Linked DNA regions of Drosophila melanogaster. The protein of the gene in region 2 interacts with the protein of the main gene of each other region in a pairwise test. Each region holds a gene or a part of one and is shown on either strand. Other genes may lie near its edges. The genes, in order: Pez, CG13843, CG1622 and CG30060.

Region 1 (9,292 bases), on a different chromosome or scaffold from region 2:
GTTTGTATACGTTTCTTTACCCGAATTTATAAAAAAAAGCATAGGAAATGCAAATTGAGAGGGTTTACTTAAGCTAGAGTTTGGGTTTTGAAATGCACACTTGGAGTTCAATGAAATTCGCCCCGACTGCTTTGAGTTTTAACTAGTGCCGAAAGCATTTTTACTAGAACTCTCAACTTAAGCAGTTGGAAGTTTGAGCTGATCCCAGGTGTTATCTTTTGTTTTGTGGGGGCTTAAGGAGCTCTACTGAATTTTCACCTTGAATTCGGGTTTGACTTAATGCTTTAATGTTGCTAATGCGCCGCTACGTGCGTGAACTTTGTATAGAGTCGCGTAATAGTTCTTGTTGCTGTGGTCAGCAAAAGGCAGAAAATAAATATTAAACACATGCGAGGCATATGCAAATCGACGCCAGTATCGTCATTCTCGTCCGATTTCGAGGAAGGTATGTGTTCGACGCTCCCGATAACAACCAACACTGACAACAAGTGGAGGTGAACATAAAATTGGCGTCTTTTTATAGGTCACCCATGTGTGCTGTTCGATTGACGGAATGACGACAGCGCAATGATTAAATTGTGTTAGGAAGCACACATATATATCACGAAAACCAACAAATGTTCCAAAAATGTTAACATAAATTCGGTTTCTTTAGTTTTTTTTACGAAACAATAGATCCTAACTCGTTCAAATGTGTATATGTTTCCTCCAAAAACACTCTTTATTTGAGTGCTTCTTTTTCTAGTTTACGACTAAGTAGTTAATCTAAATGAATGAGATGAATGATCTTGGTTATTTCTGCTTAGCCATCTATTCAAACAAAGTTTACGATCTAGTCACAACAAACGCCCATCTAGTATCACCCTACACACTTGTAATGTGCGTGATAACGCTTAGAATCTCGCTTGGCATATGTGATTTTAAAATTCCCTAAACACGATGACACTCTCGAATTACTCGTCCGAATCGACGGAGAATTATAAAGTAAGCATGACTATGCATATTTATTTCGCGCCCAAGTGGCTTTCGTTATCATAAACCTAGTTTGGCTGTCTGGAAAGGATGAAATGTAACTCCGCGCTCACTTTAACCGAAGTCCATTAAATGTAATCCCATTACGGAACCTGCCCTTTTAATGGTTCTTTAATTGGAAGAACTAATAGTCTAGCTTTAATAGGTAGGTAACCCTATAATGGGGTGTCATAACATATAATATAATATATTTATTTAGTTTGTCTTTGAACTTGAATTTCAGAGAACTAATTTTTATCCATAAAAGTTCTTAGGAAGTGTACAACAATGTACAATTTTTATATTTTAACTGATTTATATATATGTAAATATGTATGTACGTACATACCTAGACTTGCAGTATCTCCTACTAAGTTCTTAGTTCTTTCAAAATGGAACGATTTTACAGAGTTCAGTTATACAAGGCAGCAAGAGTATACACACTTCGGCTTTTCGAACTAAGCCACTTTCAATTTCGTTGTAGTAAATTTTGATACTAGGATTTTGTTTACATCGTCATTAATGTGTGTGTGTTTAATTAGCATAAAACAATATATCGGTTGGCTTTTTTCACAAATTGTTTTTAATAAATTGGAAACTAAATGCAACGCCAACTCCAATTGGAAAATGTGTAAAGTTGGTGTACTTAGGATTTTCAAATGTTGATTTTTTGAATAAGGAAAGGCAGGTTAACGGAAATTAAGAACATAGCTTCGTCGCTCATATCGAGTGCTTACTGTACGGGAAGCAGACAGTCGACAGCTGTTCTCAGCGGAGAGCCACGAGCAGAAAAGTAACTTGATGGCCGATTGGCGACCCGAGTCGCGTTTTTGGTTATGCAATTCGGCCTACGACTCGGTTTGAGACGTGAAAGGCGGCGATACAGCGTGCAAATAGCGCAAATTAATAACAGAAGTGAATTAAATTAAATTACACGCAGCGCGGACGGAGTGAGCGAGAGCGCACTATCGCACGGGCGGCGGCGAGGCTGTGCGAGAGCGAGAGGGAGAGGGAGACTGGGCGAGCGCAGCAACAGGTACTGAACTTTAAACTCGCTCGCAGGGCTCTTCTGTGTGTGTGTGTGTGTGTGAGCGAGCGAGTGAGCGATACGGTTGCTCCATCATCTGTCCTCGTCGCTGCAACCTTGACCGCCAATGCAGCGCTCGAAATATCTAAGCAGCAAATTAATTATGGACTGGATTTCGATTTTGGTAATCGGGTTTTGCTTTTTGGATTTCGACAGTGCGTGGCCTTGTGATTCGGCTCCTCGAAACTCACCGATCGCGATCTCCGACTGCGCTGCTCCTAATCCTCTGTAGATAGACGACGATCGGTGGATGTGGATGTGGATTTGTGCCCCGTCTCTGGTGCTCTTCCTGTTGCAGCCCCTCTCAGCAGCTTGGCAGACGTCAAAGCCCTTGATTTAAATTCGCTTTATTCAGTTACGCAGCGGGGCGAAGCCACGATCTTAATTTTAATTCGCTTTATTCGATAAAACGTTGACGGAGGGCGGCAAGTGCAAAGGGGAAGTGACGACTACCACGGCAGCAGCAGTACTAAATTACTGAATTCCAGAGGGACCGTCGTCGAATCGCGGTGTGGATTTCTCAGTTGCGCGCACTTTCCAGCACTGGAGTTGGAACGGATAACAGAGCTATGCCAGCACGCCACCTATGTGTCCAGTAGCTCTGTTAAGTTTGATATTTTACTGTTCGCTAGAAACCGTTATTCTCTTGCTGTGTACAACGAAGTATTCGTGTGTATCAGTGGTTTTAATATCTTTAGGAATTTTATTTAATCACTGCTGACTGCATTGTTATATATTTTAAAATATAAACTGTTTTGTTTCAGTTACATATTTCTTGGTTGCACTTGTTTTCTTTAACAGAACTAAACCTATTTTCTTGCAGCCCACTGCGCAAAGACATACCGATAGTCAATGCCGCCTATCGATCCATTCGATGCCAGCCACCGAGATACTCAGTCAGCACCTGCGTATCGATATCAGCACTTCGGTCTCTTCGTTTTATTTCTCGTGAATTCCTTTATTTATTGTCGTTAACTGCCCAATTACTATCTTTAACTTTACTTAACCAATACGCGCAGTGCTCTGGTTTGCGTGTCTAATCAGCTGATTCAAATCGGCTAATTCCAATTGAGCAATTTACTCCCCCAAAAAAAACCTGTGGTGTCGATGGTGCTGCCGTTTTAGCCACTTTTGTGAGCCCAGCGGAGCCCCGGTGGAGCAAAATAGTCGAAAAATGCCATTGAAATTCTTGAAAAAGTGTCGCCAGTACAATGTTACGTCCAAGAGTTTGTTTGTTATATCAGTGCATCACCTGCTGGGTGAGTAAGCCCCACATTCCTAGAGGCGCTACGCCCCCCACAACAACAACAGCGACAGCAACGACAACAACAACAACAGCAATAGCAACAGTGGAGACGAGACAATAGAAACAACAAGAAATCGGTGACAAAGCCACAACTTAACAGCTGCCGTCTGCCATTGCAATTGGGATTATTTAATTGGGAATGTGCACAACGATTGTCATGCGGCGCCCACTTCCAGTTTAGCTGGAATTCGCCTTCCAAGGCACAGACCACAAAAATGCCTTCACTTGTTGCATTCTAGTTAACAGTCGCTGAGTTAACAGAGGCGCACAGGACACATAACAGCGACCGTTAATTCTAAAACTAACAGACTGCCTATGAGAACTTCCTAACTTTGCGTACTTCACATTTTGTATATTATTTACTCTCGATTTTGGGCTAAACAAAAGCATGTTTTGTAGTTCTTATACACTTAACCGAATGTACTTATTTGGCAAGCGAACTGAAGACCTTGACTCAATTAAAACCACCCAAATTTCTCCAACCATCAGAAAGGTTTTAGACATTAGGCCTACGTTTCGTTAGTTAGGAAATACGACAGATGAGAGAAGCCAATTGAGCGGCGCCGCCACAATTTCCGTCCATAAAACGTATAAGGTCTCGAAAGAGATTATAAACTTTATTTGCATATTTGCGCGTGCGACGGGCAGGGCCAAATTGTTGTTGTGCGGCGAATTTAGAGTGCTTGGAGCGACTTAGGCCGATGTTTGAAGCACGTTTTCACTCTTACCTACATTGCAGACACATCCAGCACAGTGGACTGCACGATCAGCTCGGAGAGCAAGGGACAGGAGTGCCTGGACAACGTTTGCCAACGTTTGCTAATCCAGCAGCCGGAGTTCTTTGGACTGCGCTACCTGGTCAAGGGCAAGGACAAGGAGGACGAGTTCAAATGGATCGACCTGGAGCGCTCGCTCAGTCGGCAGCTGGAGAAGTATGCGGCGGGCCCCAAGATCTACTTGCGCGTTCGCCACTACGTGACCACTGGCGTGCGCCACTTGAGCGACGAAGCCACGCGCTTTTACTACTTTCTGCAGCTGAAGAGCGACATCTACGAGGGCCGCATCGCCTGTGACATCCGCACGGCCATACTGCTGGCGCTCTACTGCCGCCAGGCGGAGTACGATAGCTACCAGGGCGACAAACAGAGCAAGGACTATCTGAAGAAGTCGCTGGTCCTGCCGCGCAACATGCAAGGCCTGGCCAACGATGACAGCATGCTGGAGGGACTGATCGTGGAGGTCCTGCAGCAGCAGGCGGGCATTGCACATCTGAGTCAGAGCCAGGCGGAGGAGATGTACATACAGTGCTGCCAGCAGCTGGAGGGGTATGGGGAGGAACGTTTCGCCGCCAAGGACACGCTCGGCAATGATTTGTTGCTGGGCCTGGCCATCAACGGGATGGTGGTGAACGCGGACAACGGTCGGCAGTATTTTCCATGGAAGGAGTTCCACACGGTGACCATCGACAAGCGAACGATTAAGATCGAGCAGAACAAGCTGGATGGTGGCGGCAGCATCGTGGGAAGCTTTATATTCAGCGAGGCGGACACGGCACGTTACTTCTGGAAGCTCACCATTAGCCAGCATAAGTTTTTCAAGCGCTATATTGACACGGCCACGCCCTCGAGCCTGGGAAGTGGTGCGGATGCGGAGAGTGGTCCGTTGGGCGTTGACAGCGTTGGTTATGTCGACTACGATTACAATGAAGCGGCGGCCGCCGAGCAACTGCAACAGCATCATCAGCAGCAGCAACATATGCAGCAGCAGCAACAGATTCAGCAGCAGCAGATGATTTCCTCCAACATTTCGCTGGCTACCAGCGCTAACCAGATGTTGGGACAAAGCAGCTCCTGCCTGGATTTGAGCAACAACAACCTGCACAGCAGCAGTGGCATGTTGCACCACGGAGGCAGCAACAACAACAATAACAACGATGAGCGGGAGCGCCTCAAAGCCATGCTGCCCACATACCGCCCGGCACCAGACTATGAGACGGCGGTCCAACTAAAGTACCGCACACCATCGGCGGAATTCCACAATGTGGCACTGGCAATGGCCGCGCCCGGAAATGCCTACTATGCGGGCTCCCAGCCTGATGTACACAATCCAGGCATGCACAACGAGAACTTACTGTATGGTCATATGACTGCGCATCGTTATCCGGACGTGGCCCAGCCGGCGGCTGCCCTACACCACCACATCAACCTGTACCAGGCACAGCATCAACCGCAGTCACATCCACAGCCCATGAGCCCCGCCCAGGCATACCTAGAGCTCTCGCAGCGCATGCATATGATGCGTCACAAGGCCCCACCGCCGTATGTCAATCGGCTGAGTTCCTCCTCCACGCCCGATCTGGCCGTGGCCACTCCCCGTCCCCTTCAGGGTTTCCGCAACTACGTAAGCGGCTCCTCGCCGGATCTAGTCTCTAACCGCACGCTCTTCAATGGCGGTCAGTACGTTGCTCTGCCCGCAGGCGGACATGCCGGAAATATTCCAACATCTTCCGGAGCCACCATGTTGCACCAGTACCAGTACGTGAGCCACATGGGGCACTCGCAGCCCTATCTGCCCCCGCACGGCACCTTCGAGAACCTCAACATGATCGAGGAGCAGCCGTCTATAATGTCCCAGCTGCGACAGTCAGCGATGAGTCAGGCAGCAGCTGCAGCTGCCGGATCTGTGGTAACGCAGAGGTAAGTGTAATGAAGTCGTAAAATAAACAATATAACAATACTTTTCGCTACGATCTTGCAGTTCACCTACCCTGCCGCCGAGTGGATATCGTAGTTCTGTGCCCCCGCCAGCGAGCAGCCCGCTTCCACCGCCGGTGGTTGCTTCGTCCCATAAATCGGCGACACCGGCGCCACTACAGAGGAGCTTGGTGAACGGTTCCATCGAGCCCATCTACGAGAATGTACCCCTGCCACAGAGAGCCTCTGGTGGCAGCAGTGGTGCCGCAAATACTGAGGCTATGCGTCAAAGAGCTTCCTCCATACAGTCCGCCCCAGGCGTTGTCCCTGTTCCAGCTGCTCGAAACGCCAGCTCCAACAACGTAGTTACTGTAACTGTCAATTCTCCACCCGACGATGGAAACATAAAGAAGTACGGCGCAGACCGAGCAGCAAGCACGGAGCTGCTGTTCCTGGAACCGCAGGCTCCTAAGCGGACCAATCGAGCCGCCAGTGCAGCGCCAGATATGGGAGCCACACCTCCGCCACGACAACATCGCTCAACAGCAAGCCTAAACAAGTCGTCGACGGTCGACATGATCACGCCGGCCGGAGACACGCTGCAACAGCAGTTCAGTGCCATGAATCTTTCTGCCAACACATCAGCTTCCACATCCTCCATGTTCAACTCAACGCTGGACACCACGTCCTCATCGGCGGCCAGCAAAGACTTAAAACGCAAGAAGCGATGGAACTTTTTGTCACGCAGCAAAACACCCGACAAACAGAAATCCGCCACACTGGGCAGGGAAAAGGCCACAACGGCAGGTCAGCACTCCAAGCTGGCGGCAAAGCTAAAGCTAGCCCAAGACGATCTCAACCTGCCAAATCGTTGGTCCACAGGCGTCAACAAGCCGCAGCCCATTTCTGGACGATATTCCAAGGACAAACTGGTAGGTTAAAAGTTATTACGATTTGGAATCCATTTCGATTAAAGCGCTTGTCAACTTCCAGTGCCAAATCCTAGACCAAAAGCTAAGTGACTCGCAGCTATTCATGGAGTTCGAACGCATACCGAAACGACGGGAGCATGCCCTATACGAATGCGCCCTGCTGGAGGAGAACGAGCCAAAGAACCACGACCCCAACTTTTTACCCTATGACGACAACAGAGTGCGACTGACTCCATGCCGAGACAATCGGCATGGTTACGTTAATGCTTCCTCCATATCTGTACGTTCAGTTGACACTCAAGATGAAAAGCAAATTGTGTATTTCATTGTTGGAACATCTTTTTCAGGCCACTGTGGGCACAAAGCAGCGGTTCTATATTGTGGCCCAGTCGCCACAAGAACCGCTTACCATGCGCATCTTCTGGCAGTGTGTATGGGAGGCGGATGTGTATTTGGTGGTCCAGCTAACCGAGGATATGAGCTATATTCCTCGTAACAGTCATCAGCGTCTCGAGTTTGGACAGGTAAGTGAACCGCATAAGCTTTTAGTTCTGTTCCTCAAAGGTTCTACTTTCTAGTTCCAAGTGTATCAGGAATTCTCACAAACCACCGATCGATGCACCACCATCAAGCTGCGCCTTTACCACGTACCATCGCGTCGATACCGATCCGTTTGGTATTTGCAGTACGCTGACTGGGCGGAGCAGAATTGTCCACGCGATGTGAATCACTTCCTCGATTTCCTCGAGGAGCTGAATTCCGTGCGATTGGCATCTACGCAAGAAGTTCCGCCGGGACATAACACAAACCCACCAGTTCTTCTTCACTGTCTGGAGGGAGGCGGTCGTTCGGGAGTGACACTGACCGCCGATCTTTTACTGTACACGTTGGACCACAATGAGGTGAGTGGAGAAAGGGAATTTATTATTCCATTTCCATAAGCATTATTTTCTTACGATCGCAGGACCTGGATATACCTCGAGTTATCGGGCAGCTAAGGCATCAACGGGATAGCATTATACCATCCCTGGCGCAATACAAGTTCATATACAATCTGCTTATTACCTATTTGAAGCGCACGAGGCTCATCTGAGGTTCTAAAGAATATGGAAAACTTGGCAAGAAGTATTTTTCTTTGTTTAAGCTTAAATTGTTTATATCGAACAAATTTCCTTTAGTTCTCGTTTTAAAAAATCAGTACAACTCCGTTCAGCAATTTTATATTTCTACTGGCAGCTGTTGTCCCTATAATCGTTAAATTTTAATACCAACTAGTTTTTAAGCTCTAGATTTGTTATAAAAACAGAACCCCCCACAATGGCCACTTTATAGATACATACATAAATATAAAAGTAGCGGATAGGTAGTTGTTTTGGCAAGCCAGTAAAAATGCCAGTTAACTAACCACAGCCACAACAATTGGGCTTAGGTTTAAAGCCGAACTATTTATACATGTGTATTTTAATAAATTTCGAAATAAAAACAATAACAAATTGATAAAAAGCAATAAGCACATTTAACTCTTATGCGACGTGCAACGTGTTTTTTCTTAAAAAATTATTCCCAGCGCGCTTCCCCAAAGAAAAGGTTTGAAAAAAATTAATTTTATTTTTGTTAATTTGGTTTGATGGTCCGAAACATAGTTAATACATGTATAATTGTCACATAGGTCTTAAAATATGAATTAAATGTACTTCATGTTAGTTTGGCGATCTGAAGACATTTTCATACAATACGTGGCAAAAAGGAAGACATATTATGAATTTATAGTCTTCAGATTTAGGACAAATTTTGTTTTTCGGTAATAAAAGCCAGACATTCATTTTTTAGACGTCTTCTCAATTTGATGAAAAGTTTAAAAATCTTTTTAAACTGCCCACTTTTTTCATTCCCCACTAGAATATTGAACATTTATAAGAAGACGTCCCCAGGATCTTTGAAAATCAAAGATACAATTAAAAGATCACTTTTTCAAGGTAATATTCATTATTAAATAATTTTATTTTTGTGCACCTTTGCAGACAAGTTGCAAAAATAAACGCTCAACATGACATTGAAAAAAGTCTCTCGTCGTTTTTCAAAGATTCCTAAAAATCTAATCATTTAGCTGCACAACATACAGATATATAAATACAGAAAATCATTAAGCAAAATACGCGATTTTTATTTATACAGAGTACAATTTAGGCTTCGATCTAATGTTTTTCTTAAGCCTTAAAAAGCAAATTTGGTATTTAGTCTAACTTAAAAGTACAAAGAGCAC
Region 2 (4,795 bases):
GCTCTTGATTTCGATCATTTCAAAACTCGCATAACCAACACACACCTACATCACAATCCCCGCCTCTTGGCTATCGGTAAGTGCCATGCCCACATTGAACCTATCAGCAACTTCGACTTATGCGTGTAACTATCTTTTCTCTCCCCACCAGTGAAGCAGGCGATTGAACGAATTTGAATAGAATACTCCAAAATGCCAAGCTGCCTGCGACGGGAACATAAACAGATCAGATCCACACAGAACCACTGAACCACTCACCCACTCGCATACTCAGCACCACTCGCGCCACGCCACCACCCACCCACTTACACTCAAGCGTTGCGGCTGTGCCGTGTCTGCCACAGAAATTCGGAATTCGTGCACTTTCAGTCAGTTAAAACCCCATCAGGGGTTGCGAGAAAGAGATCATTTGAGACAATTAGACTACCAATGCGATAATTAACGAGGGAGAATTTTACGTTTAAAGGTCGTTCATCAGAAGACATCGGCATAATCTCGGCAACCAGAGGATTATCTCGAATTCGTGCAGTTGATTTTATATTTACCATGCTACTTATCCAGAATGAGGGTATTCGAGATCGGTTTCACCTGATTTAAAGCTACACAGTCAGATCGATTCGAATTTGAATTATCGTTCATATTTGCTCCGCCAAAGATTCTGCTGGACGGCTGTTTAGGAACGAGAATGAAAACTGCTTATACACATAGACTTATTATTACAAGAGTTGATAAACAATACTTACATCATTACCTATGCTATCATTATAAATGATAAAAATAAATTATTAATTAATGAACAATATCTCTACACAACCACAAGATGGAGAACATCGGCAGTAACAATAACGAAATGAGAATTGAGAAGAGGACAAGCGCATTAGCATTAAGCTTAAGCAATTACTACCATACCGTGTACAACTTGTTTTTGGTCTTTTGCGATACATTATCACATTTAACTGTGTAGGAACAGTTACTCCAATATTATGTACGGATTAATATATTTATTTAAACAACTATCGGTTGATTACGCGACATGTCCATGTAGCTAGAATATGAAATTAAATATCCATTACGGGGTAAAGAGAGATGGAGGAAAAAATAAAATTAAATGCATCATATATTTTTGAATATATTATGATTATGGTATTGTGTAATTATGTAAATGCAGACTATATAACATTGTTTATAATAATTTTTAACAATTCTACTGAAACGGCAATAAATTCGAAAATACAAACTAACTAAAAGTGAAAGCAACTTGCCTGCTGCAAACCAAGCGCCTAAATGTATGCATATTGTATATTTATTTTAACTGGCTTAAGAGGGCATCACTTAGTTTCTAAAGCAATACCCTTTCGATAACAATTCATTTAAGACAACTTGCCAACTTGTGGCGAGAAGGGAAACAAGAAGACGAACGTGGAGACGGTGATTTTTATGTGAACATTTATTACTAACTGATAAGCTTTGATTAAACTTAGGAAAGCCGTTATACTATGCATATACACATATATATAAATATATATATGAACTATATATAGTATATATGAATGCTCGTGTGAGCAACCAAACAATTACGATATGAATCATTAAATACTTCCGAAAGCATTAAATCCCTGCAGTTTGTCTAATCCTCCGCCTTGAACTTAAACGAGGTATCCGTCTCCATCAGCATATTTTCCAAACGTAATTCCAACTGGCGTCGCTTCAGATCCACCTTTACCACCGATGCCACAATGCGATCGCCAACGCTCAGCTGCGAATTATTCATGTTACTGTTGTGTATGAGGCCATTGCGCTCCACTCCAACGTCCACGAAGGCGCCAAACTGGGTTACGTTGGTCACGGCACCTGTGTGTCGGAATAGTTTCAATAAGTACATATATGAAATGACTATCATAGTCTCCACTTGCCAGTGACCACCTCGCCCATGCTAAGATCATCCAGCCTAGTTAGACCTTGTTTGAACAGTGGCCTCTTGTCCAGATCTGCTCGATAATCCTGAAGTAATTCGCGCTGCAGGGCAACCAACAGGAACTCCAACTGAAAGGAAATTTATTTTAAATTATTTGAACATTGCAATAGGCCTGTTTAGTATAGATTGAGTGGCACTTACTCGCTCCATGGGCAGCTTGTGCTGCTTGGCAATGCGATCGAGATTAGGCTGGGATGAGGCAAACTGCTTGATGCTAGCTATAAAGGCAGCCTTGCCCACATCCGACAGCTTTAAGTCACATTCTCCGACAATACTGAAAGCACAAAAAGTATTTGGTTTTAGAGTTAAGTTTTCAAATTTTCCATTATAATGATTGCCAAGCTAAAGCAGGAATATGCGGAGCGCTGGCATTATCCTCCAATTGTGCCGCCAGCCAAGCTTCGATATGTTGCATGTGGAAAGGTAGCATTCTACGGCCACAACGATAAGCCGAAATACAAGCCCTGCTGGCAGCATCCGCTCAATGTGCAGGATCAAACCCGCTTTGGAGTTTGCTGGGAGTATCCGCCGGAGCGGTACAAGCGTCGTCCGCTTCCGCCACCGTGCCGGGGATCGACCATTCCCATCCATTTGCTGAAGCCAACCTTCAAGCATTGTGAGAATATCTACTCCCGCTACGATTTTAAGCTTGAGCAGTGTGTGCACGAGCAAACTCTAGTAGTTGACCAGAAAATGAAGGCCCTGAAGAATGAGCTGGAGCAGGCCAAACCATTTCAGATTGAGAGGGTTAAGGAGATGCGTTACCATGGAGTGCGTTATCGCATTTTAGCCAGCTCGACCGGATGCACTAAGACCTATCCCGAGTACATAAGCCGGATGACCGAAGAGCGGGCCCTTTGCGAGTTTCAGAGAGCCTACAATATCGTCAATCAGTCAAAGTAAGTCTATTAAAAATACACAGCCACTGCTAATTTAAAACTTTTTAGCACCGATTTGAGCAATTTATACCTGGACATGAGTGAGTCGAAAAAGGAGCTAGATCAACGCGTAGCCAGGTTGGACCGGTCTTTAGGAAGTACATTCTTGAAAGAGCTAGATTCGGTGCTGCAAATAATCGAGGACTTAAACACGTATTTCTTTGGCGTGATCGTGAAGCTAAAGACGTGGGCGGAGCTGATGGACCCTATGAAAGAGCACTCTATAGAGGACTATCTGGGGCTTTTGAGTCAGGAGACGGACTTCCGGACTTTTATGAGTGCCGGCATGGAGAACTGCACCTGCAAGCGTTGCGACAAGAAGGATCCCTTGAAGCCGTACCTTCCGTGCTGGTGTCAAATGGAATCTAGCGAGGATGTTACAAATCTTAAGAATTTTGACGACGATTGTCCAAAGAACATAGCTGGCATCACGCAACACGAAAGTGACATTGTGACACCTAGTGACACCTCCTTGTTAGTGAGGGCAGCGGATGAAAAGGCCAGGCTTGCGATGAATCAGGCGGAATAAAGTCTCATTATTATTGGTTAATGAAGTCAATTGAATATTGGACTTACCTTTCCACAACGTTGTAGCTCTCAGGATGCACCCAAGTGCAATCTAATGGATTCTGTAGTTGTCCTCCAACGCTTCGGGGTTCGATGCGCACAAAACCGGCGCACTGGACAAACGATTTCTCACCTATGCTTCGCACGGAGAGCAGATCCTTCCGTGTCTTGAATGGTCCTTTCTGCGTACGATGCTCAATGATCTTTTCCGCTTTCTTTTCCGACAGACCAGCAATGTGCCTATATGGTGGAGAATATTAAAAATATATAACTTATTTGACCCTTAATCACACATACTTGAGTACACTCAGACTGGCTGTGTTGAGATCAACGCCAACATAACTGACACACTCGGACACAACGTCATTCAGCGATGCCGTCAAAATCTTCTCGGGAACATCGTGCTGGTACATACCAACCCCCAGGTGACGGGGCTCTATTTTAACATATTCACTCAATGGATCATTCAAACGACGCGCTATGGACACTATACAAAATATGTTTGTTTGTGTTGCTTTTAATTTGATCTTCGTCCAAACCTGCGCTCCTTTCGTTTGTATCCATTTTGGGAAACTCCTTGGCGGCCACATTGCTGCAGGAGTAAATAGATGCTCCATTCTCGTTAACGATGCTGTAGCGAATGATCCTGCTGTCCAGAACGCCGGCATGAAACATACCAGTTAGCCAGTGCTCAGTTTCGCGACAGGCAGTACCATTGCCCAGGCCAATAATTTTACAGCTTTTGGGAAAGGCAAAAAAGACATATTAATAACTATCTTTGCAAATCGAATTCAAAATATATATATACTTATGATCTGAAAGAAGCTGAACCAATTTCTGTTCGGCAGCCCGCTTGTTTGACATGGCACCATGAGGGTAAATAACACCAGTGTACAGCACATCAGCAGTCTCGGATATAAGTGCCAGCTTGCATCCATTTATAAAACCCGGATCTATGCCCAAAATGCGTTCGCCTTTCAAGGGGGATATCAACAGTAGTTGCTTCAGGTTCTTGGCAAACACATCGATGGCTGCCTTTGTGCCTTTTTCTTTTAAAGCCGCTCGAATCTGCCTGCACATCAAGGGCTGCACTGTAATAAGTAATTAATTAACATATCATATGGGGGTCTTAATATATTCCATATCTTACACTTCTTCGCGTAGCACTCCTCTAAGGATTTTGTGAACACCTCCCTTCTTAATGGATATTGCAAGCCTTGGTTCATGTACTGATCGGTTATATAGCGCATCAGATCTCTTTTAAGGTAATCGTTCGTTTCTATCTTGACAGAAAGCCATTTGTGCTTCTCCCCAC
Region 3 (6,400 bases), on a different chromosome or scaffold from region 2:
AGCAGGGAATGCATGCAGTATCCTGCTCCTTGGGCCTGTTGTGCATGTTTCTCATGGCAATGCTTCTCACTCCGGTCGGTTGAACCTCTCGGCTCCCAGAGAGATTCACAAGCTCCGTATGGACTTCCAGCGTCGCAGCAACAAACACGACGAGGTCAGACCACTGGAATATTGGCTAAATTCACTAATATTTATGTTGCGTGTTGGAATGTCGATTTTCTCTTTTAAAGTCTGCCCGAAAGAAAAAAAAAAACAATTAGCATGGCGTCTAATTAGAACGATCGATGCTGACCTTGTAGGCTTCTGGAATTTCCGTTGGGGATCTGTGCACGATCGTTCCATTGATGTACAGCATATTGGCCGCACTCTCCTCGGGCAGAGTCAACTTCTGGTAGGTGCAGATGGCCTCGCGCTCCATCCGCTTGACGATCTCCTGGCAGGTGGGGCTACTGCTCACACACAGCACTTCCGGCCCCGCCATGGTCACATAGTACTTCAGCCTCTTGGTGCCGTTGACCTGATTTGTAATATATGCACATATTAATGGGCGGTGTACAAAGAAAGGGAAGCTTTAATAGACAATCTCAAAGATCTCTTCACAGATGTTTACTGAATTAGTGGATAATCTATAAAGCTTCCAATAGTTATATTATAACAATACCCGAATCGGCGTCACTGGATATTCGGGATAGGCCATGGCCACCGCCCGGGCTCCCTCCTCATTGGTGAAACTGGAGATGCCAACGAAGAATTCGCGACCTAATGCAATTAACACAATGAATTAATTATGATATCATGGTATCTCTTTAAATGAAATATATACCCGTGAAAAGCACATCGCCACCATCGAGCTGAGCGTTCGGATCCTCGATCTCGATGACCGGAATGTCCAGCTCCTTTTTGAGAATAATGGCCATGCTCTCGGCCTCGAGTTGCCGCTTGGGATGCTCCGATCTTCCGATCAGGGCCACTCCGTTACAGATCACCGCACTGTTCTCGACAAATACGCCCTCGGGCAGCTGGTCATCCGGCGGCAGCTCGATCACATCGAGACCAATGGTCCTCAGGAGGGTGCAGTACTGCTCGTGCTGCTGCTTGGCCAGCTGTACGTCGAACTTTCCGTTCTCCAGCAGGGCATCCGAGATTCTACGGATTTAAAGCGGTTAACAATGGATCTGCTAATTGAGGCGCGAATACGAGAACGTCTGAGTGGATAAACGAGTGGGTAATGTACTTGTGTGCTAACTACTCCTTATAAGAAAGAAAGTTATTAATTCCTATTCTTAAGCATTTTGTTTAATGATTGTGGGAGAAACTATTGTAGAAGATGTGTCAAATAGATAAATTAATGCTTGGTAAACAGGAAACTGTATTTTTAAACGTATAACTTCAAAATTGGTATCCTCAGGCTTATAAGTTCTATTTTAGATATGTAGCTATAGAAAGATTTGAATAATCAGATAGATCCAAACTAGATAGTGTTAAAGACAGGATCCAGGAACTGGGCGGCTTGGAAGGTGCAGCCCCACCCACTGGCATGTGTACCCACGAACGTTTGGTTGGGTGACCTAATTCCGCGCCACTGGGGCACTCCCTCCTCCGGATGCGGCAATCCGTCGAATTGAGACGAATTTGGGCTCCACTCACCTGGCCACAATCGCATGTGTGTACTTGGGCGACATGGTCGGCGGATTGGCCACTGGGTGCTCGTCCTCGGCGGCGGAATGCAGATGCAGATGCGGATGCGAAGATGGGGATTCGGATTGGATTCAGTTGGGCACAGTGTGACCTCGCTGCGAATGCCCGTAAAGGCAATTCTTTCGACGCCCTGGTCACTCTGCCATTCACTGGAAATATTTACAAGTTTTTGAAACGATTTAGTAACGGAAAATTACACTTTTTGTTTTCTAAATGTAGTATTACAAATCAAATAAATTAATAATTAAAAGGACAAGCATATAACTGAACGAAATGCGAATTTTCTGTGCATTTTCATAAGAATTGACCCAAAAACATTAGAAGGAAAAGAAAATTGCGCTTACTGTGATATAATAATATATTATATATTATATATTACGCTAACAAATAAGGTTTCATAAGCAAATATTAAATAAATTATTACAAATTATTGAAAATCACGACTTGTGGTGAACAGTCACGACCAAAGCAGTGACCTTAAGAATTGCCCGCTCCAGCGTTATCGATAACACACCGATAACGACTGCTAACGCATACACATCGCCAATTTGGGCATTTTCTCGCATGTAAATTGCAAATTGTGCTTGCATTTTTCGCGTTTTCCCGCGCACACAATCCTTCGGTAGCCGTAAAATTAATGCGCCCAATAGTAAAAGAGCAGTAGGCATGGACGAAGGTGAGTAAGAACATAGCATCCAATCCCCGCGAGCGTTTCATTGATGGCGGCGTCTTGTCTCGTGCAGATTATTCGGCGTCATCTTCGGCCGGCGGTGGCAAGAAGGCCGGCAAGCAGCACAACACGCTGCCCTTTTGGGGCAACGAATCCTCGATGAACCTGAATGCCCTGATCCTGGCCAACATCCAGAGCTCCAGCTACTTCAAAGGTGCAACCAAATCCACACGCGTGCTATTGCCAATCGTCACACTTACTAACCCGCCTTTTTTTTTGTGTACCCCAAACAGTCCATTTGTTTAAACTGAAAACGTACCATGAAGTGGTCGACGAGATCTACTACCAGGTGAAGCATATGGAGCCCTGGGAGCGTGGATCCCGCAAAACGTCCGGACAAACGGGCATGTGCGGCGGTGTGAGTGGTTTATGAAATGTAGCGCTAATCGTTGGCGATGCTTTATGCAATGCATGAATGTATGCACTCATTTTCGTTATCCTATTCCTTTCTAGGTGCGAGGCGTTGGCGCCGGCGGCATTGTGTCAACGGCATATTGCCTGCTCTACAAGCTATACACGCTGCGGCTGACCCGGAAGCAGATCAACGGACTGCTCAATCATACAGACTCGGCCTACATCCGGGCACTAGGTAGGTGTTGGTAAGTCGCATGAGTTCAGCCGTCACATATGCCGTCGCTTGCTCCTGCTCCCCCAGCTCACCAAACGAAACCAAACCACACCATACATCACCCCAAATTTGAAAAAAAAAAATAAGAAAAAAGAAAATAAAATACATGAAGCAGGGTGGGTCGATTTGGACGGTTGCAAACTATAATAGAGAATCTTGGCGGATGGTATTCTATGGATTGAACAACAATCACGTTTCCTTTTCGATTTCAAGTTGTGCCTTTTGCGAGAAGAGGACCTAGCATCTCCTTGCATCTGCCTGCGAAGGTAATCTTTACCCTACTTGCAAATATTTTATTTTATCAAGTATTCATGTTTATGCAATTCCCGGAGCAGTTCATTAAGCATGCACAAATCTTTTCAAATTTATTCGACTTAAATCACCATCTTGACATTCAACCATTGCTTTTTCAGAAATTCCTAACTAAAATCAAAGGAAAAAGTCAAAGTCTACGGTAATTTGCCTATTAAGAACTATTTTTTAGGGATTTTCAGTTACCTATTGCATGATTTTGCCGATTAAATGCTATATAATACATTCATGATTTTTAAATTTGTCCAAAAGAAAATTCCATGTTTTGTCAGAGTGGCCTTTCCCACTAATTGAAAACATATATTCCATTCAAAAATTAATAGGCTTCCTTCCAACTAAGTAATACTTTCCCGTCAATCAAATCGAGCCACTCTACCATGAAACTCATTATACCCCTTTGGCCAACCACCACAAGTTCAACTCCTTGAAAATGTTTTAATCCCGAGTCTCTCATTTTTATTCCGTGCCCCAGGCTTTATGTACTTGCGATACACGCAGCCGCCGGGTGACCTTTACGACTGGTATGAGGACTATTTGCAGGACGAGGAGGAGATCGACGTGAAAGCGGGCGGCGGCCAGGTGAGTCAACTGTATGAGCCACCAATCACACGAAAACCAACACTCGGTTGATAGAACTTGGAACTAACCTAAGCTATTTGCAGGTCTTAACCATCGGACAGATGGTTTATCAGTTTATGACCAAGCTGGACTGGTTCTCCACGCTCTTTCCGCGCATCCCCGTGCCGATTCAAAAGCAGATCGAGAAGAGGATCGAGCAATACTGTAGGGAGCAGGGGGTGACCGTCCATCAGTTGAGCACGGGTCGGTCAACGGCGGGCACTGGTGGTGGTCCTGGAGCCGCTGGCCAGGATGCGGACTACCAGGACTATCCGGAGGGAGGAGTAGAGCGTGGAAGCGGCGGACGTGGCGGTGGACAAGCTGGCTCCCGTTCCAACGCCTACCCACAACCGAATAACTACCGCAACGATTATGACGAGCGTGACTACTATGCTGCCGCGTCTGGCTCGTCCTACGGCCGTGGTCGCGGTGGCTATGAGGACTACCCACCGGCGCCGCTGCCACCACAGATGCCTTACGGCGAGCGCGAAAGGGAGAGGGATCGCGATCGGGATAAGAATAAGGATTACGACCGCCACCGCAGCAAGCACAAGAAGAAGCACAACCATAGACAAAGCTCGCGTAGCCGCAGCAGAAGCCGCAGCCGGAGTCGCCACCGCTCCGAGCGCCATGAGCGCAAGCGGGACGGTGGTGGCTACGAGCGGAGCAGCAAGAGCCGGCACAACGAACACTATGAAGAGCGTGAGCGACGTCATCGGTGAAGACCGATTCCACCCACCAAAACTAGCCTCCTCCTCCTTAAGTTGTTCTGTTACTAACTAACTTTGTTTCACCATAGTACTACTACACATTTTTTTTTAATTTGTCAAACTCTATCTACACTTTGGAAGCCACGAACGTCAGTTGCGCTTCTTACTCAGGTTAAACACTCTCCGAAACCCCGAAATGTTCCATAACTAACACTAAATCTAGACACAATCACATGCGGACACAGCAGCAAGGCTATATTTTGTAATTTGTGACTACACTTACGCTGATAAAATAGTTTTCAAGTTGTGTTTATGAAAATAAAGTCAAAACTTATTTGTTTAAAACGTTTATTGATATTTATTGATATATTCGGTAGTAGAAGCTTTACTGTAAATAGTTTCGAGATAGATCCAAAAATTGTATGGGTTTTTACTTTTAACCTGAGAGAACAAAGTGGATGAGTTCTTGGACTATCACATCCATCAGTGATTCTAATTAGTGATATATATACTGAATGGGATTGAAAACTATTGGATTTGATTGCTGCATACTTTTTAGGGAATCTAGGTTTTTAAAAAGACTTCCTAATGTTTCGCAGTGTTTCTTTTTGAAATGCTTGGCCCGATATTGAAGTTGTGCTTGTGAGAGCTTTTTGTTGAAATATAATCATCAGTGCTGCGCAATTTATAAGCAGGTGCAAAACCAATATTACCAGGGAAACTTCAATCCAACAGACTTCGGTATTCAAATTTAAGAGTATAACTTCCATGTCTTGTTACAGATAAACTAAGAGGATTGCTAATTCCAATAGGATTGAACAATACTCAAATCACTTGTGATGTGTTCAGAAAGATTACAGACAAGTGGAGAGATCCCTGTTCGGGCGCCATTTTAAACTTAGTATTCTGTCATAAAAGAGGGTAATCATTCTCGATGGTAGAGGATTGTGGCAGTTCGCACGGCGGGGCATTTTTCGAGCTTTGAGTCGAGCATGGAATTATAATCGCCAGTGCTGCGCAGATTATTGGCAGCGCGGATCGGTCAGGTGCGACAGCTGAGACAGGTGAGGCGGTGCCAAGCCTCCTGGCCGAATTTCGAATTTCGAATTTCAGTTAGTGTGCAACGCCTGCGTCGAGTTGTCGCCTCTCGCGCCGACCGTTAGAAGAAAAGCGCCGTCAAAAGAAAATCGCCGGGCAGCCAGAAAGCGGCTTATCAAATGTAATTAGCATGTGCCAGCACCAATGAGAGAGTTCACTTAAGCCACCAAATCCGAGCCGTAATCCAAGCCAAAAAGCCTCTGCTAGCGCACACAGACATGCACAGACACTACGATCATATCATATCAATGTCAGGCAATACAACAACAATAACAACAACAACAACAAAAATTGCAGAACACAAACAACAAACCGAAGTGAATGGAGCGAACAACAGTAAACGGCACACAATTCACGCGTGTGCGAATGCGCGCGTCAAATGGCCCGTTTTGACCATTTTGGGAAAACGGGGTACTGTTTAGGTGTGTGTGTGCTTGTGTGTATGTTTGTGCGAGTGCGTGCGTGTGTGTGTGTGTGTGTGCTTATGGCCATAAAACATGATTAGTGCCCGAAAGCAAATGTGCAAAGTTTATGGCTGGGCCAGCAGCACCTTTTCTCCGCTCTCTGTTCTTCACTATTCTCTCTCGTCTCTCCGCGTTTAAGCTT
Region 4 (4,100 bases), on a different chromosome or scaffold from region 2:
TAATAACAAATTACTCACGGCTTTCCAGTTTCCCTGAGCACTCCGTTAAACTCGTATAAATGCCGGTTGGGCAGCTCGCACTCGATCCTGCCCTCCAATCGTTGCAGATCCTTCGTCTCCAGCAGTTCAGCGGTGGCTGGGAGGGCCTGTCGAATCTTCAGGTTGGTCTCACCATCCAAATTGGCCGTCTCTATGAAGCACATGGCCTGCGGTTCACTGTGGAAGCATCAGATTCGTATAAAGTATCAAAACAAATTGGGGTTAACTTGGGTGCGCACCTGGACGACAGCAGAATCAGATCGGCGGGGAAGAAGGTATTGATTCCCACTTTGATGATATCGCCCACCGTCAACTCCGACCAGCGAACTGTGCACCACGAGCCACTATCCAGGCGCTCTATCGATCGGTGATTGATCTCATTATCCGCCCGATGTCGTTTCTGCAAATCATGGAAAGATATCAACAACTCAACTGGCTATATGTTACTCTTAGTACTTACAATGTCCTCGATTATCTCCTTAATGGCGCTCACCGAAAGGATGAACATCAGTGGCACTAGCGTGGTGTAACGACCCGTCGGCGACACCTCCGGGATTTGTTGCAGTATGGCAATTAGCAGGAAAAAGCAGTTGGAGTAACGCCGGAATTGCTCGAACAGGAACGCGGGCAAAAAGCTGATGAAACTGCATGCAAATGGGACAGATTGTTGTTTACTTTGTGTCTAATCCATTCATTTAGGTCATGATAGTTATCAGGCGCTAAATGGCTCGTACTCACTCACCTATATTTTGCCGTCGTTATGCGATTATTACCGTACTTAGTGGGCTGTGGCCCATTTAGGTTTATGATACGCCTCTCCCCATCATCTGCATCGTACCCAGCGGACGAGGTGAAGTCCTCGTCATCTGAAAATATGTATGAAAACGTTGATTAATAGGTGATATCAAAACGTGAGAAATCGGAAAATTACACGGCATTTATTACCGTGGACAGCGATGTTTCAATTAAGTTCTCATTTTTTGCTGATTAGTAATCGGCTATTATCTTTTGAATGCTACTATATCAATGATTTGATATTATGGCTATATATACCAAGGACATACAAGTATGAAATTATAGTCGTCCCAAGAACTGTATTATAAGAACAAGACTAATTTAAAACTTCGAGCTTTTATTAATTTTCATTTCCATTTGAAGGTTCGAATTCATGTTCCGAGACGAGGTATGTTGGTGTCCATCGCCATAACCATTCCACCAGATAGAAATTGGCAGCCATCGGATTGCCAAGCGCATACTTCCTTGCAAAATTATGGCAATTGAAGGTGCCACGACCCTTTTCCTCGCCCTCGGGAACGAAAGTCTCGTCGAAATCGAGCTCCAGATACTGCTTGAAGGCCAGGAAGACGATTCGATGGATGTTACTGCCGTGGATGGTCCGCCGGTTGTCGTAGGCCACAAGCGTCTGACCCATGGCGACATCGCAGCCCGGAATATTACCGACCATCCAAATGAGCCACTCCGTATTATTGTCCGGCGGCACGTCCAAGTCGACCATCATCAGCGTGTGATAGTGTTCCGGATCGGCCTTAAACCGAATGATCGGTTGCTTCAGCGTCTCATTAATCACTACCATAATGCCCGGTTTGATGTCGATATCGCAGGGATATAGCACACTGATCACCTTCGTTGGCTTGCAGGCAAAGAGGCGGGGTATCACGTGGTGCCTCTTGAGTTCCGTGACCAGTTTCTCAACTGGACAAAGGATCGGGCAGCTCACCAGCATGGTGGTGGAATTTCAAAATTTTGGTTGACAAAACAGGAAAGAGGAGCTAGGCTTGCTATAATTGGCATATAAGCTTTTTTTATTGTTTATGGAACAACAAGAACCGCAGATGTCTGTTGTTCTAGATCAATTAAAACTGATCAATCGATCAATCGAATAAATAAATTCATTGTTTGGTTTCTATAGTAGTTACTCTAGATCGCATTTCAGTTGTACTATTTTATAGACTGTTGGTCTTCAAAGAATCCCATATTTGTGTACACAATTTCCCCATCATTTGAAAGATTTGAATATTTTTCTAGTCACTTACGACTCCAACGAATGCGCATCGCCTTGTAGACATTACGAAAGTCCATTTTGGCCCGGCGAAAAAGCGCGGGACAACGGAAGCGTCCTGCCCGATCCCTAGATGGCGCCGCTACCACCGACTCCACCGTCTCCTCCTCCGCTTCCTCTTCCTCGGGCCCGGGTAGCTCGTCGGATCCAGAATCGCAATCGCCCACGGGCACGAATGCAATGCACTCGCCAGCGGTCTCCTCCTGATTCCGCTTGGGAAACCCCAGGATGGAGGGCAGTTGGTCACTGGTGACAGCCTCGGCAAGGATAATCAGCCACAAGTGGGCGTGGCGATTGGCAAATGGTATAAGAGTAGTCCTGTGGGATGGCGCCTGCGCCTCCTCTTTTTCAATCAATGCGTATAAGAAAACACAATTTTCATCCCGTACGGAGGATTCTGTGCCATGCACATTTGCCTATACACACGGCCAATGAAGGGATTCCTACGGAGCACCATTTGACCACCTAATCAAAGTGGTTCACCAATGTTCCTTGCGTGGCCAACTGGTCGTATAACTTTTTCACATCCATCACCTGGCAACGTGCCTGCACTTTTCCGTTTCAGGTATCGATTTGTCACAATTAAGTTGAATGCGTTAAGCACGTGATTTTCCGGCCAACAGATTTAAACGATTTTGATATATTCAGTAAGTTAATTTGATTGATAATAGCTTAGCTGACACTGATTGACGAACGATTATCTAAAGTTACTTAAAATTAGCAAATATTCTGCGACACACTTTCACCACCACACACTTTTCACTATGTGCGCTCTCCTGAGCTCCGATACTACGACTGAAATGAAATTTCCACGAGCTCGAAGGACCCAGAAAGGACAACAGGGATGGGTTTCCCGATGTGCGGGGTGTGGGGTCATCCCCCCCCAGGTTGGAAACCCCTTGAGTCCAACCCACCACCCCTCAAAAGCTGCGTAGTGCATTCTCCAAAAGGAGCTTATGAAGCTTGCGATTTATCAGTAAACCCAAAACACTGCGTACCTACCACTGGGAAGCTTGGGAGATCGGGTTGGGGGGTGTTTGGAATGCAGGAGCAAAAGCGAAAGCGAAACGTGCTAGCAAAACAAAAGGTGAGAAACAAGGGAGAGCTACGTACGAAAAGAGAGCGCGAAGAGAACGCGACTGCGCCTTAAGTCAAATGTTTTGAAATGACTTGGAATTTGAAGGTCGACCAGAGCCGACCAACGAAGTACCCTAACTATCATATATCGTATTGCAAGCGAGTTAATGAATGCTAGGAAGCATATTTTCCCAACTTTATATTGAGTTACTCATATTTCCGAATAACTATGGCTAGAAAATCTGTGGACCGTAAGTTTCACTTTCTAAAATAAATATTACATTTTATGGCAAGATCATAATAACTAACCACATGGAATTTTGATAAATAATTTGTAGCGATTTAAAAAATTTCTAAAAATTTCAAGTGCGGTTCAAAAAAGAAATTTTAAAGAAATTCATTTGTTAGTTGGGATATGAAAGCTATATATACGCACATATATATTTTATATATATACTTTAACAAGTATAATGGCTTAGTTAAAAAACATATGCACCTTTTCTTTTTTTCCGGCCTGGGCGTGTTCTTTTAATATAATTTTTCACTGACTGCATACTGCCCATCACGGACGATTCGTCCAGCCTTCGATGTGGATTACTGCCGTCTGTTTCCGTGTTCCCGTCACCGCTTCTGGATGGCGCAGCCCGATCATTGTCCGAGGGAGGTAAGTCCGCTCCACCGGACGGAGCCATCGCTGGACCCGTGGTGGCTGTCCGCCGGAGCAACTGGCTCCTCAAGCGGCGAACACCAGACTTTATGCTTGGCCACAGACTGCGCACATTGAAGGTGGCTTGGCTGGGGGGCGGATTGTCCAGGAACTGCAGCTGTCGTCCTTGACTGTGTCCGTTGTGTCCATTGCGTCCGTTGCGTCCGTTCTGGTCGTTTCTGCGTTCGCTGTTCGCTC

What was found.
Region 1: the proteins of CG13843 (region 2) and Pez interact in a two-hybrid assay, tested with the Drosophila melanogaster proteins (one large-scale study listed by BioGRID).
Region 3: the proteins of CG13843 (region 2) and CG1622 interact in a two-hybrid assay, tested with the Drosophila melanogaster proteins (one large-scale study listed by BioGRID).
Region 4: the proteins of CG13843 (region 2) and CG30060 interact in a two-hybrid assay, tested with the Drosophila melanogaster proteins (one large-scale study listed by BioGRID).

Annotation. Positions count from the first base shown.
Region 1 is NT_033779.5:6,332,123-6,341,414, reverse strand, and holds Pez (Pez), read left to right. Parts: upstream 1-2,743; 5' UTR 2,744-2,767; intron 2,768-2,921; 5' UTR 2,922-3,272; coding exon 3,273-3,357; intron 3,358-4,143; coding exon 4,144-6,100; intron 6,101-6,161; coding exon 6,162-7,029; intron 7,030-7,090; coding exon 7,091-7,309; intron 7,310-7,376; coding exon 7,377-7,553; intron 7,554-7,607; coding exon 7,608-7,931; intron 7,932-7,993; coding exon 7,994-8,122; 3' UTR 8,123-8,534; downstream 8,535-9,292.
Region 2 is NT_033777.3:22,607,233-22,612,027, forward strand, and holds CG13843 (uncharacterized protein), read left to right. Parts: upstream 1-2,252; 5' UTR 2,253-2,305; coding exon 2,306-2,874; intron 2,875-2,922; coding exon 2,923-3,442; 3' UTR 3,443-3,483; downstream 3,484-4,795. Other genes in the region: CG31156 (uncharacterized protein), read right to left, coding at 1,628-1,851, 1,914-2,043, 2,117-2,249, 3,490-3,720, 3,778-3,967, 4,020-4,219, 4,289-4,571, 4,631-4,795.
Region 3 is NC_004354.4:13,294,866-13,301,265, forward strand, and holds CG1622 (uncharacterized protein), read left to right. Parts: upstream 1-2,216; 5' UTR 2,217-2,364; coding exon 2,365-2,374; intron 2,375-2,441; coding exon 2,442-2,582; intron 2,583-2,661; coding exon 2,662-2,786; intron 2,787-2,881; coding exon 2,882-3,017; coding exon of another isoform or gene 3,018-3,031; exon of another isoform or gene 3,032-3,322; intron 3,323-3,840; coding exon 3,841-3,947; coding exon of another isoform or gene 3,948-3,958; intron 3,959-4,030; coding exon 4,031-4,708; 3' UTR 4,709-5,045; downstream 5,046-6,400. Other genes in the region: CG1764 (uncharacterized protein), read right to left, coding at 106-231, 293-517, 662-759, 824-1,146, 1,648-1,682.
Region 4 is NT_033778.4:13,421,821-13,425,920, forward strand, and holds CG30060 (uncharacterized protein), read right to left. Parts: upstream 1,828-4,100; 5' UTR 1,784-1,827; coding exon 1,175-1,783; 3' UTR 1,158-1,174; downstream 1-1,157. Other genes in the region: ATP8A (ATPase 8A), read right to left, coding at 19-216, 279-439, 500-683, 782-905.